Coturnix japonica: one gene and its partner. The protein of the gene in region 2 purifies or fractionates together with the protein of the main gene of each other region. This does not show direct contact. Links are inferred from orthologs where the notes say so. Each region holds a gene or a part of one and is shown on either strand. Other genes may lie near its edges.

Region 1 (4,248 bases), on a different chromosome or scaffold from region 2:
AACCTGCTTTCTACACTGGCAAACTGTGTGCCACCAGGGCACTCTGCTGTGGGCCTCTAAGCAGTGATCCAGAAACTGCCAGAAAAGGTTCAAATCAATCTCTCTGTATGCAAGAGGTGCGTCTCCTGCCAGCACAATAAGCCAAGTATAGAAGGGTGCAGTGAAACAACATTCTGACCAGAGTCTCCACATCACCACCCTGACCCCAGTTTTGTTTATTTAAGTCAGCAATTCATCTGAGCACAGGTCTGTTCAGAAGGCTGCTTCAAATTAATTCCTTTCAGAGAATTAAACTGATTCCTTATGGGGATCTTTGGTTCTCATCATAGAAATGACTCTTATATAAAAAGAGGTCAGAGCACTGCTCATCATCAGCAAGAACTCCTAGGATGGGAGAAGCTGTGGAGAAGGTCCAAGGAGGAAAAGTGGAAGGAAACTGCAGAACTCACCGTGGTTGATAAAAAAAGAAGGTTGTCTTAGAATATACTGCATGGAATAAGTTGTAAAGTGCTGAGATAAGCAGAGGATAGCTTGCTTTGTAGAAAACAATACATACACTGCCTAAGGCTGGGACTTACTTGAGTTCTTTCATGGCAATCAGCAAGGGGTCTGTCTCTCCTTCCAGCTCCACCATCACGGGTGCACACATCCTGGGACAAACAGCAACAGCCATTTCAGAGAATGTACAGAAAGACAGAAGGGCCAACATATGACTGCATGCTGCACTCTTATCCACTCTGGGACAAAGGTTATCCCCAAGTGGCTACGGATTGAGTTTTCATTTGAATGCTCTTAATCCACCCCTCATCCTCTGCAAGTCAGCTGGGACTTGAGTGCTGGTCAGAACCACACCTGTCTAGTCTCACTGTGCTGTACTTATATGTGAAGAATAAGGGCAGATCTAAAATTAAAAATAATAGAGTTGGAACACTATAAAATGGGAATCTGACTTGCTTGAATCTTCAAGGCTTCCTTCAAAGGAAAACAAAGGGCTAGATTTATAATGCACTCTATCTCTAGAGCAAAAAAACAAATGCGTTTTGGTGAGGGCTGTAACAGTAAAGCAAACACAGTTGACAACTGTCTCAGGTGGCAGCAGAAGCAACAGAAGTTCACATTATGTGTGGGTAAAGCCACTGGGGGGCTGCTGCTGGCCTAGAGTCAACATCAATAGTCAACAGAATACGGAGGTGATAGAGACCAGGCACCAGTGTTTTGTATTAAATGCCTGGCACTGGCTCATCCCATCTCTTCCATCCTTCTGGCCTGCCACCAGTTGAAACAACATGCACAGAATTCCTTCCTGGAGTGATAACCAGGCGAAGAATAGCTCAGCAAAGTGATGATTAAGCAAAGATCACATAGAAGCTCATTGGTGGTAATCGAATCAGCTTCATTTTCAGGGTGGATGTAGCTAAGATTCCTTTCAGACCAATTTCAACACAGCCTAATCATCTCACTTACACAGCAGTTTCTCAAAGATCACAAAGGTTTTAGCAGGCATTACTAAAACAGATCTGGACAGATAAAAGGAAGAATTTGAGAGGAACTTGTCTTAAGGAGTGCTTAAAAGAGGATTTAAATGTTATTACCTATTAGAAGTGATGCTCCACTATTCCAAATAGTTAGTGAACATACAGTGTGCCACAATATAACCGTATGCTTAGTATTTCAAGACAGCTGTGCCATTCCTAGAGTTCTGATAGCCTTGTGATAATAATTAATGATATTACTTTATTACTTTTATTCAGCTTCCTCAAAGCTGAACTTTGCAGTAGTAGTTCTGAGTTTCCCAGCTCATGCTGGCTGCCTTATAGAAGGCAGAAAGCAGAACCAGAATGCCACGTTACCCACTCCATCTGCTTGTGACCCACAGCATCAGCTGGGGTGAGATTCAGAACTCACGTGTGGCTGACAGCTCACAGTATTGCTTTTTATTGCTTTTCACTGTTGATGGAGATGGCGATTCCCAAGCGGAACCGCCAGGTAAAGAATCACTTAAGGCTTTAGGGAGAAAGGAAGGAGCTTTAACAGGTCAAGCCATGAGAAGCACACAGTCCTACAGCAGGGATCCAGCTAATACTCACGCGATCTGGAGGGCACGTGTGCCCAGCACTCTGGCTCTCTCATACTTGGTCATGTAGGGGGTGGTGATTCGCTTCTGGTTCGCTGCCTGGCGCTCTCCGGAGGGGAGGATCTCCACGTTCTCCTGTCCCTCCTGGGTAAAGCACAGCACGACACAGCACCGTTACGGGCTGACTCCATGACCCGGAATGATCCATGATCGGAGCCCCGCAGAGCACCCACCTCCTCCACGTTCTCCAGGTCATCCAGCCCCTCGTCTTCCTCCACATCATCGAAGTCATCCCCATCGAAGCTGTGAGAGACAGGCAAGCACACATCGCACACAGGCCGGGAGACAGCGCCTGGACTCGGACTTAGCGCTGGACCGTCTCTAAGTCCAGGCTTTGATCTCTGATCCCAGCCCCCAGCCTCAGCCCTCAGCCCTCAGCCTCAGCCCTCAGCCCTCAGCCCTCAGCCCTCAGCCCTCAGCCCTCAGCCCTCAGCCCTCAGCCCTCAGCCTCAGCCTCAGCCTCAGCCTCAGCCTCAGCCTCAGCCTCAGCCTCAGCCTCAGCCTCAGCCTCAGCCTCAGCCTCAGCCTCAGCCTCAGCCCCACTCTCACTTGTCCTCGTTGTCCGACATCTTGTTTCCTCGCTCCCCGGCGGAAGTACTACCCACTTCCGGTCGTGCGCCGTGACGTCACGTTTCCGGAAGTAAACCGGCGGCGCCGTTGCCACAGAGACAGGACGCGGCTCCGCCTGCCCCGCTGTCCCTAATTGTTCTCCCACCGTCGCCACCAGCCATGGCCTTATCGACGGGAACGAGGCCAGCGGGAAGAGGCAGAGCCCGGTACAGCCCCGAGACACGAGAGGTGCTGAGAGGTAACGGGTTATGAGGGATGGAAGGCCGCGGGGACTCGGGGAAGGCGGTTGTGGGCCCTGTCCTGGGTCCTGTGCTGGGCCCTGTGCTGGGCTCTGTCCTGGATCCTGTCCTGGGTCCTGTCCTGGGCCGTGTCCTGGGCTCTGCGGGGCCGGGGCAGCCCACTGTGCTGTGTAGTAACACGTAGCTGTTGTTTTTTAGCCCTGATGGAGGAGTCGAAGCTGACGAGTTTCCAGAGGCGATTCCTGATGGACTGTTTGAGGCGTGAGTGCTTCCCACCTGGCACTCCTTCCCCAGCACTGTGCTGAACGCTCTCTGCTGCTTGCACTGCGGCCTTCTAGTACTTGAGGGAAGCTTACAAGGATGGAGATGGACTTTTTACACTGCGTAATGGTGACAGGACAAGGGGGAATGGCTTTAAACTAAAAGAGGGGAAATTTAGGTTAGATATTAGGGAGAAATTTTTCACTGAGAGGGTGGTGAGGTGCTGGCACAGGCTGCCCAGAGAAGCTGTGGGTGCCCCACCTCTGGAGGTGCCCAAAGCCAAGTTGAGCAGCTTGACCTGGTGGATGGAAGCCCTACCAATGGCAGGAGGTTGGAACAGGGTGGTCTTTGAGGTCCTTTCCAACTTAAGCCATTTTATGGTTTTATGACCTTCTGCTGGTGGTAGGCTGGGGCCACTTGCCCAGACTCCTCTGCATCTGACATCAATATGTTGGGTTTGTTCTCCAGGGGGAGATTCTCTGCCCCTCCAATGCCACCCTACCTCCAGCCAAGAACAAGTGCTCGCGCCTCCTGCTTCCTCCCCACCGTGCCATCAGCCAAGCAAGCTGCCAGCTAAACCCCATCTTCGGCCTGCTGAGGTCTGCCGAGCAGGAGATGCCTACATCCGAGAGAAATTCAGGCCACAGGCAAGGCGTAAGTAAGCAAACATCACAGATAAATAAATCATGCTGTCCAGTTCTTCTCTTTCCCTTATGTCTAACCCCTCAGCACCTTTAGGGAATATCCTTAATTATTCTTCATGCTTTCTGTCTTCAAAGATGCTTTAAAGGGAGATCTCTGAGGGAGCGCCTGCTGCAAATGCTCACAGAGTTCTGCCTGCTGCCCAGGGGGACAATAGGTGACAGGAACTTGCACAATCCTTTGTAAGAAGAGATCACTGTGTAATTTTCTAGCTTGTAAACAAGGGTGAAACTTTAGAGCTCAGACTGGTTTGCCCATTACCATGTGTAGCAGAGTTCAGTCTGGGGCTGTGCTGTCACTTACATCATGCTTCCTCTGCCATCGTTAACAGCAAAGCAGGGC
Region 2 (7,559 bases):
AACCTTGATGACTGTCAATTTAACTCAGAGCAGCTCATCTGAAGTTTCTGCTTTGCCAGGTGTTCATCTCACAGCATTTGTTTCCCAGTGATCAGGGAGGATGAGTTATTACTTGCCTAAGAATCAGAAAACTGTACTGCAAAAGCTGCTGCTGATTGCACCCACCTTCCAGGGAAGAGATTACTTTGTAATGTAATATGCTCTCATCACTTGAAAAGTATTAACAACCCATATTGCAACCTATAGCAATACTAGCCTATCAATAAGCACTAACAGCCTAGCCTTGTCAGCTGCAAAGAGCAATTCTAAACGGAGCAACTGAAAACTTTGTTAAAAATGCTAGATATTTCTTAGACATTCTTGATTATCTGGAAGAACTGTCCAACTTAGCTGCGAGATCTGGTTTAGTGTTTGCTGTAGCTACAATATTGGGGTGACGGTTGGACTGGATGATCTTGTAGATCCTTTCCAACCTGGTGATTCTGATTCCCCAGTGATTCTGACAGTGGCTTTGTGAGAGGCTTTAAACAAACTCTAGGCAGAAACTTGCTGAAGAAAACTGTTCTTGCCACAGAAGTGACTGTAACAGAGTAACAAGGCCAGCTCTACAAAGATTGCATTAGTATCCTGTCTTCAACCTAGCAAAGTACCTATATCCACATTGCTGATTCAACCCACCACTGTGTTGCTTTATATAAGAATGGCTGAATGATCTGCTTATGGTGATCCAAAACTCACTGAAAAAACTCCAACCCTGTCATTCCACACACAGAAGGAAGTAAGTCTATACAAATGACTTACAGGGCTCTGTGTATTTTATGACATGGCTGCTGAGCGAGGGCCTGCATACCACCCTCATGTAAATCTGCACCAGCAGAGGTGACATCTGTCACCACTGCTGAAACGCAGCATCCACCGCCTCACTGTGCCCACATCCACTCTTTGTGCTCCATAAAAGTTTAGCACACATGAAAATGCATTGCTAATGGTGGTTACCATGCTGAAGAACAGTGCTTGGTAACGGAGCATTTGCTCTACCAAGTGATCTAACTGTTGTAGTTTCCACAGACATAAACAGGAGGCATTACTTTCAGAGCAACCTATGTAGCACACACAACGATGTGAAACAAAAATATTTTAGTAAATAACAATTGCCATGATTTTCAAGTGTGGATGCTGAATCAAACTCCTGAGCAATTCTGAAAGGGTAGAGGAAGAAATTAAGCACATCTGGTCAGCTCCAAGACACAACTGCGTTCTGGACTTGACACAGACATCAGTGCTGACTGACCTTTCTCCTGTAACAGACAGGCTTACGGCACAGCAGCAGACTGGCTCCCAGCTTATCCACCACATGGGTCTGTCAGCATGAGACAAACCATCAGCTGCAAGACGGGTGTAACAGATGCCCCACACCATTAGAGAATCACAGAATTAGCAAGGTTGGAAAAGATCATCTAGTCCAACAATTCCCAATACTTCCAGGCTAAATCATATTCCTCAGCACCACATCCAAACATTTCTTGAACACTCCCATGCTCGGTGACTCCCCCACCTCCCTGGGCAGTGCATTCCAATGCCTGAATACTCTTTCTGAAAAGTAATACTTCCAAATGTCCAGCCTGAATCTCCCCTGACGCAGCTTAAAACCATTCCCTCTAGTTCTAAGTTCCAAGTTAGCAAGAAACAGCAGGTAGGGACAGAGGCGCTGTCACAGAATCACAGAATTGTAGGGGTTGGAAGGGACCTCTAGAGATCATTGAGTCCAACCCCCCTGCCAAAGCAGGCTCCCTACACCATGTCACACAGCTCGGCGTCCAGGCGGGTCTTAAATATCTCCAGAGAAGGAGACTCCACCACCTCCCTGTGCAGCCTGTTCCAGTGCTCCGTCACCCTCACTGTAAAGAAGTTCTTATTAAGGAACTTCCTATGCTGTACTTTCATCCCATTACCCCTAGTCCTATCCCCACACACTACTGAAAAGAGACCAGCCTCACCACTATGGCCCCCACACCTCAGGTATTTATAAACCTGGATCAAGTCCCCTCTCAGCCTTCTTTTCTCAAGGCTCAACAGACCCAGTTCCCTAAGTCTCTCCTCATAGGGGAGACGCTCCAGGCCCTTCACCATCTTTGTGTCCCTCCACTGGAGTCTTTCCAAGAGATCCCTGTCTTTTTTGTACTGGGGAGCCCAGAACTGGATACAATATTCCAGATGAGGCCTTAATAGGGCAGAGTCGAGTGGGAGGATCACCTCCTTTAACCTGCTGGACACACTCTTTTTAATACACCCCAGTATGCCATTGGCTACAAGGTGCTAGCAGCGTGTTAGCACCTCCCCAACCCAAGTACCGTCCTCCACATCACGGCTATGATGAGCAACGACATGAACGTGAGACAGGAGGGCCTAACCCCAACCCTAACCCTAACCCCAACCCTAACCCTATAACCCTATAACCCTATAACCCTCCTAGCATCACACCAGGACCCCCTCACACCCCACCCCTCGTGTAACGCATCCCATCGCTCTGTCCCTCCCTCCAGTGACCGCAGTGGGCACCGCCGCCGTTACAGACCCGCTCCAGGCTCCTCCTTCAGCACCAGTGAAGCAGTGCGGGCAGCGGGGCCGGCACACCGCCTGTTGTTCCCGTGCTGTTCCCCTGTTGTTCCCCGCTCACACCGGGCCCAGCGGCACCGAACCCGCCGCGCTACGACGCTCCGGCCCCGCGCTCCACCCCCGCTCCCACCCTGTCGCCGCGTCGGCCGGAAATGACGCCATATTGACGAGAGGATGTGACGTCATCTCGGAGCGCCCCCACCGGAAGTGCCGCCATTACGGCGTGGCGCCTGGCCTGTTCCTGTGTGTACCGGGTATGGCCACCGCCACGTGGAGATACCGCGGGGATCCCGAGCAGGAGCAGCCGGCAGTGCTGGGTGAGCAGAGATGCGGGATGGGCGGTGCGGTGCGGTGAGGTGCTGAGGGACTCACGGCCTGTTTTATCGCCCGTAGTGACGTTCTCCAATGGGCAGCTGCAGCGACCCGACGCCGTGCGGTTCTCGCTGTACCGGAGCAGCGAGGTGTCCAACCCCAGGAAGAGAAGGCGGAGGATCCTGGTAAGGCCCGGCATCACCGGGGGTGGGATCTATGGGGTCTATGGGGTCTCTATGGAGAATCTGTGGGGTCTCTGTGGGGAATCTGTGGGGTCTGTGGGGTCTCTATGGGGATCTATGGGGACTGTGGGGTCTCTATGGGGTCACTATGGGGATCTGTGGGGTCTCTGTGGGTCTCTATGGGGGTCTCTATGGGGATCTATGGTGTCTATGGGGGTCTATGGGGATCTCTGGGGTCTCTATGGGGTCTCTATGGGGGTCTCTATGGGGTCTCTGTGGGGATCTGTGGGGTCTCTATGGGGTCTCTGTGGGGATCTGTGGGGTCTCTATGGGGATCTATGGGGTCTCTGGGTCTCTATGGGGGTCTCTATGGGGATCTATGGTGTCTATGTGGTCTCTGTGGGGATCTGTGGGGTCTATGGGGTCTCTATGGGTCTCTGTGGGGTCTATGGCGTCTCTATGGGGGTCTATGGGGTCTCTATGGGGATGTATGGGGTCTATGGGGTCTCTATTTGGATGTATGGGGTCTCTATGGGGGTCTATGGGTCTCTATGGGGTCTCTGTGGGGGTCTCTTTGGGGTGTATGGGGTCTCTTTGGGGTGTATGGGGTCTCTTTGGGGTCTCTATGGGGGTCTATGGGGTCTCTATGGGGATCTAAGGGGTCTCTATGGGTCTCTATTGGGATCTATGGGGTCTTTATGGGGATCTGTGAGGGTCTATGGGGTCTCTATGGGGATCTCTATGGGGGTTTATGGGTATCTGTGGGATCTGTGGAGTCTCTATGGGGATCTGTGGGGGTCTTTGGGGTCTCTATGGGGATCTATGGGGTCTCTATGTGGGATCTTTGGGGTCTATGGGGTCTTTATAGGTCTCTGTGGGGTCTATGGGGTCTCTGTGGGGATCTGTGGAGTCTCTGTGGGGATCTATGGGGTCTCTGTGGGGATGTATGGGGTCTGTGGGGTCTCTATGGGGATGTACGGGGTCTATGGGGTCTCTATGGGGATGTACGGGGTCTGTGGGGTCTCTATGGGGATGTATGGGGTCTATGTGGTCTCTGTGGGGATCTATGGGGGTCTGTGGGGTCTCTGTGGGGATCTGTGGGTCTCTATGGGGTCTCTATGGGGATCTATAGGGTCTCCTGGGCAACCTGATCTAGTAAATGTGTATGTTTGGTGGCCCTGCTAGGCAGGGGGGTTGGAACTACATGATGCTTGAGGTCCCTTCCAACCTGGGTCATTCTGTGATTCTGTGAAAGTCCTAAAGATCATCCAGTCCAACCGTTCTCCTATTACCAATAGCTCCCCCTAAACCATGTCCCTCAACACAACATCCAGTCGTTCCTTGGGCACCCCCGGGGTGATGATCCTCTGGTTTGTAATGTTGCCTTCCCACAGCTCTGTGCCACTTGGCTCATTCTGACATCTAACACTTGTTCTGTAAACCGAGAAAGGCTTTGAGTAACTGCATCAAGCAACCTTAAGCACTGCGAGTAGGATGTGCAGGTGACTGGTACAGAATGCTCCTTTCCACTGCCTCTTTCACAGACTGCTCCTACTGCTTTAAAGGATGGTTTATTTATTTACTTTATAAAGTATAAAGTAAATGGAATATGTAAAGTAAAGTAAAGGAATATGATTTAGCTGAGAAATATCGGTAATGGTTGGACTAGATGATCTTGTAGGTCTTTTCCAACCTTGATAATTCTGTGATTCTATGGTGACCGTGGCAAATTTGAGCTTTGTGTCACTAGAGATACAGTACATGCAGGAAAATATGCACTTTCAAATAATGCACTCTTCAAGTAATTTTTTTCTTTGTTTGTCAGGTTTCAGAAACTGAAAGGCTTTCATACGTGGGGAATAACTTCAGCAGTGGATCTATGAAAAGCAACTCCCTATGCAGGTATGGGTAGCTGGCAACGCTGTGGCAGAAACAGGGAGGGGAAAGCAGAGGAACTGCACAAATAAAGTATTTTCTGTAGCCTTCTGTATTGGGGACTGATGAGTTCTCATTGAGACCATGGTGTGAATGGAGAGGATTGGGGCAGTTGATATAATCTCCTGGCAGCTGCACCATTTTGCATGTTGTGATCTTACACATAAGTGGAGTTTAGGTCTGCTGGAGGGAAGAAAAGTGAGAAGGTGTCTGCACATAGCTGAAACCTATGGACAACAGCATTATTCCTTCTTAACTGTTGTCTCGCTCCAATTTAGGAGTGAGGCAAAGGTTCTTTTAATAATGTTATGCCCGGCGTGAGATTAAGAAGAAGAGCATTCAAATGTTGATCCGACCAGTTTATTGGAAATAATAGACAATTGAGGGGATGGGGAAGGGAGAGTGACGAATGCCAAAATTAGGGTGATGGGGAAGGGAAAGTAGGCGATAGAAAAAGGTAGAAAAGAGCAAGAATTACGTTAAAGCGGGGAATAGTCACCTCCTGGATGCAGCAGCGTCCCGTAGCACGTTGTTAACGTTGGTCCGGGGCAAAATAAGCGTAGGGGAGAGCAGCAACGGAGTAGCAGGCTGCAAACAGCAGATCGGTGAATCGCAGAAAAGATGGTCAGAGTACCGTGGTCTCTAGAAGCAGAGTCTCGGGCAGCGAGGTCCCTCGGAGCAGAGTCTCGAGCAGCAATCCCAGAAAAGAGAATAGGCAGCAGTAGGACAACGGTGGAGGAATCTGAGGTCGGATACCTAGATGCCCACAAAACCGTGGTTTGTCCGTGCCCTTTTTATCCTTCTTTCCAGCCTTCCAGAGATTTCGGGAAGGCTCGGGTCAGAGTCCTGTGACTTCCTCAGAGATGTCAATCTTCCTTGAGATGGGCCAACAGGAAAGACCACTTAAGGGCCATTAGTCCTCAGGGATGGCCATCTTCCTTGAGATAGGCCAACACAAAAAGACCACTCAAGGGCCATTGATCAGTATCTTATCTCCCTTTCGTAGCTCCCGGACTTGTCCATCTCCTGTGTGTCTCAGACAAAGGCAGTCCTGGAACCTTGGCCAGGACTTGCCTGAACTTGTCCATTTCAGCAGACTTTGAGACAGTAATGTAAAAAGCATGGCTTCTTACAACTGTCAAGATCAGTATCTTGTTCAGGAAACCAGTGGGTCATTAGTCACCGTTTAACTTCGGGGCCACAGTCTGGTGGTGCTGTATGAATTAATAACTTGTCTGTGCCTCATGCTGCAATGGGAAGCCTTGGTGAAATCACCAGTTTTCACATGTCCTGGTTTCAGAAGGTGAACTTTGTAGCCTGGAGACAAATCCCGTGAATTCCTAAGAATTATTTTGCATGGGGGATCATTCCCATCCTCTAGCAGAATGACCTTTTGTATAGGTGGAAAACCAGTGTAAAATCATCTCACTTTGTCATATCTAACCTACAGAGCTCTGATGTACGTTTGGTGTGGGTGTCAGGCTCCTGTTAGCAAGCGCTTTGCCCCATGAATGTGCTACATTCATCCTGCAATATTTGCTCGTGGTTTATTTCTACTCTGACTATGGGGACTACTTAAAGTAGAAGTGGGGTGACACAACAAAGAGTAAACAGAATTGCAGAAACTGTTAAGATGAGGTGCTTCCAGCCATTTAATGTCCTTATGTTAGTTCTTTTGAAAGGGTCGTGATATAGATTATTAAATTTTTCTTTCCAAATACAAACTAGATGACATTTAAAGGTCCCCTCCAACTCTAAGGATTCTATGAGTCTGTTCTATGATTCTGTGGTGAGGAGCAGCACAAACTATTTGGGTTTGCTCGTCTGAAGTGTGAAATGAAAAAGATTTGACTTGCTAGAAATTAACCTATTCTAGAGATTTTAAGTTCATTTTTCTCAGCTCTGAGAGTCTCATTGGTTATCACTTGCACTTGTTCTCCCCAGGTATTTTCTTGGTGTTTTAAACAAGGATTCTGGGCAAATGGAAGTCTATAATGCTGAAATATTCAACATGCAACCTTTACTGTCAGGTAGGACAATTCTTTATTTAACCCTTTTGTGCCAAGGTCACAATGTCCTGGAAATATGTGTGCATTCAAAATTGACTAATTTGCTACTGACAGCATTGCACTCTGTTTCCTCCTAGTCTTATTTCTGCTGTGCTGCCTTAGGATGAGGGAAGAAGGATACATCACTCTGTCCACTCCTGGGGAGCAGTGTGGCATGAAGAAAGGGAGAATGAAGCAAAATCATAGCTAATATTGAGGGAAAGGTTAAGCAGAGAGCTTGGGGGTGGGGGGGTGGAAATACCAGAGTTAGAAATAAAGTTGTTACTGCTTAGAATAATTGCAGCCCTTCTCCTGCTGAGAGAAGCCTGGAAATAATCAAGTCAGTAGACTGAATCATTCACTGAAAAAGAAAGCAGCTTTTCCCCAGCAGAACTGCTTTTAATTACTGAATCTAGTGGAAATAATCCGAAGAATATCATCTTTAGGGAACTGTTTTCTTTTGTGG

What was found.
Region 1: the proteins of POLR1E (region 2) and POLR2F purify together in Homo sapiens (affinity purification with mass spectrometry; 4 studies listed by BioGRID and IntAct, with this or other methods). This does not show direct contact. The link is inferred for Coturnix japonica from reciprocal best matches to the Homo sapiens genes POLR1E and POLR2F.

What each region holds. Positions count from the first base shown.
Region 1 is NC_029516.1:46,598,890-46,603,137, forward strand, and holds the start of POLR2F (DNA-directed RNA polymerases I, II, and III subunit RPABC2), read right to left. Parts: upstream 2,801-4,248; 5' UTR 2,704-2,800; coding exon 2,684-2,703; intron 2,378-2,683; coding exon 2,308-2,377; intron 2,219-2,307; coding exon 2,088-2,218; intron 651-2,087; coding exon 579-650; intron 1-578. Other genes in the region: C1H22orf23 (UPF0193 protein EVG1), read left to right, coding at 2,864-2,942, 3,142-3,204, 3,673-3,858. UniProt on the Homo sapiens protein: DNA-dependent RNA polymerase catalyzes the transcription of DNA into RNA using the four ribonucleoside triphosphates as substrates.
Region 2 is NC_029547.1:66,745,592-66,753,150, reverse strand, and holds the start of POLR1E (DNA-directed RNA polymerase I subunit RPA49), read left to right. Parts: upstream 1-2,797; 5' UTR 2,798-2,872; coding exon 2,873-2,933; intron 2,934-3,009; coding exon 3,010-3,113; intron 3,114-4,935; coding exon 4,936-5,012; intron 5,013-6,989; coding exon 6,990-7,075; intron 7,076-7,559. Other genes in the region: ZBTB5 (zinc finger and BTB domain-containing protein 5), read right to left, coding at 1,292-1,419. UniProt on the Homo sapiens protein: Component of RNA polymerase I (Pol I), a DNA-dependent RNA polymerase which synthesizes ribosomal RNA precursors using the four ribonucleoside triphosphates as substrates.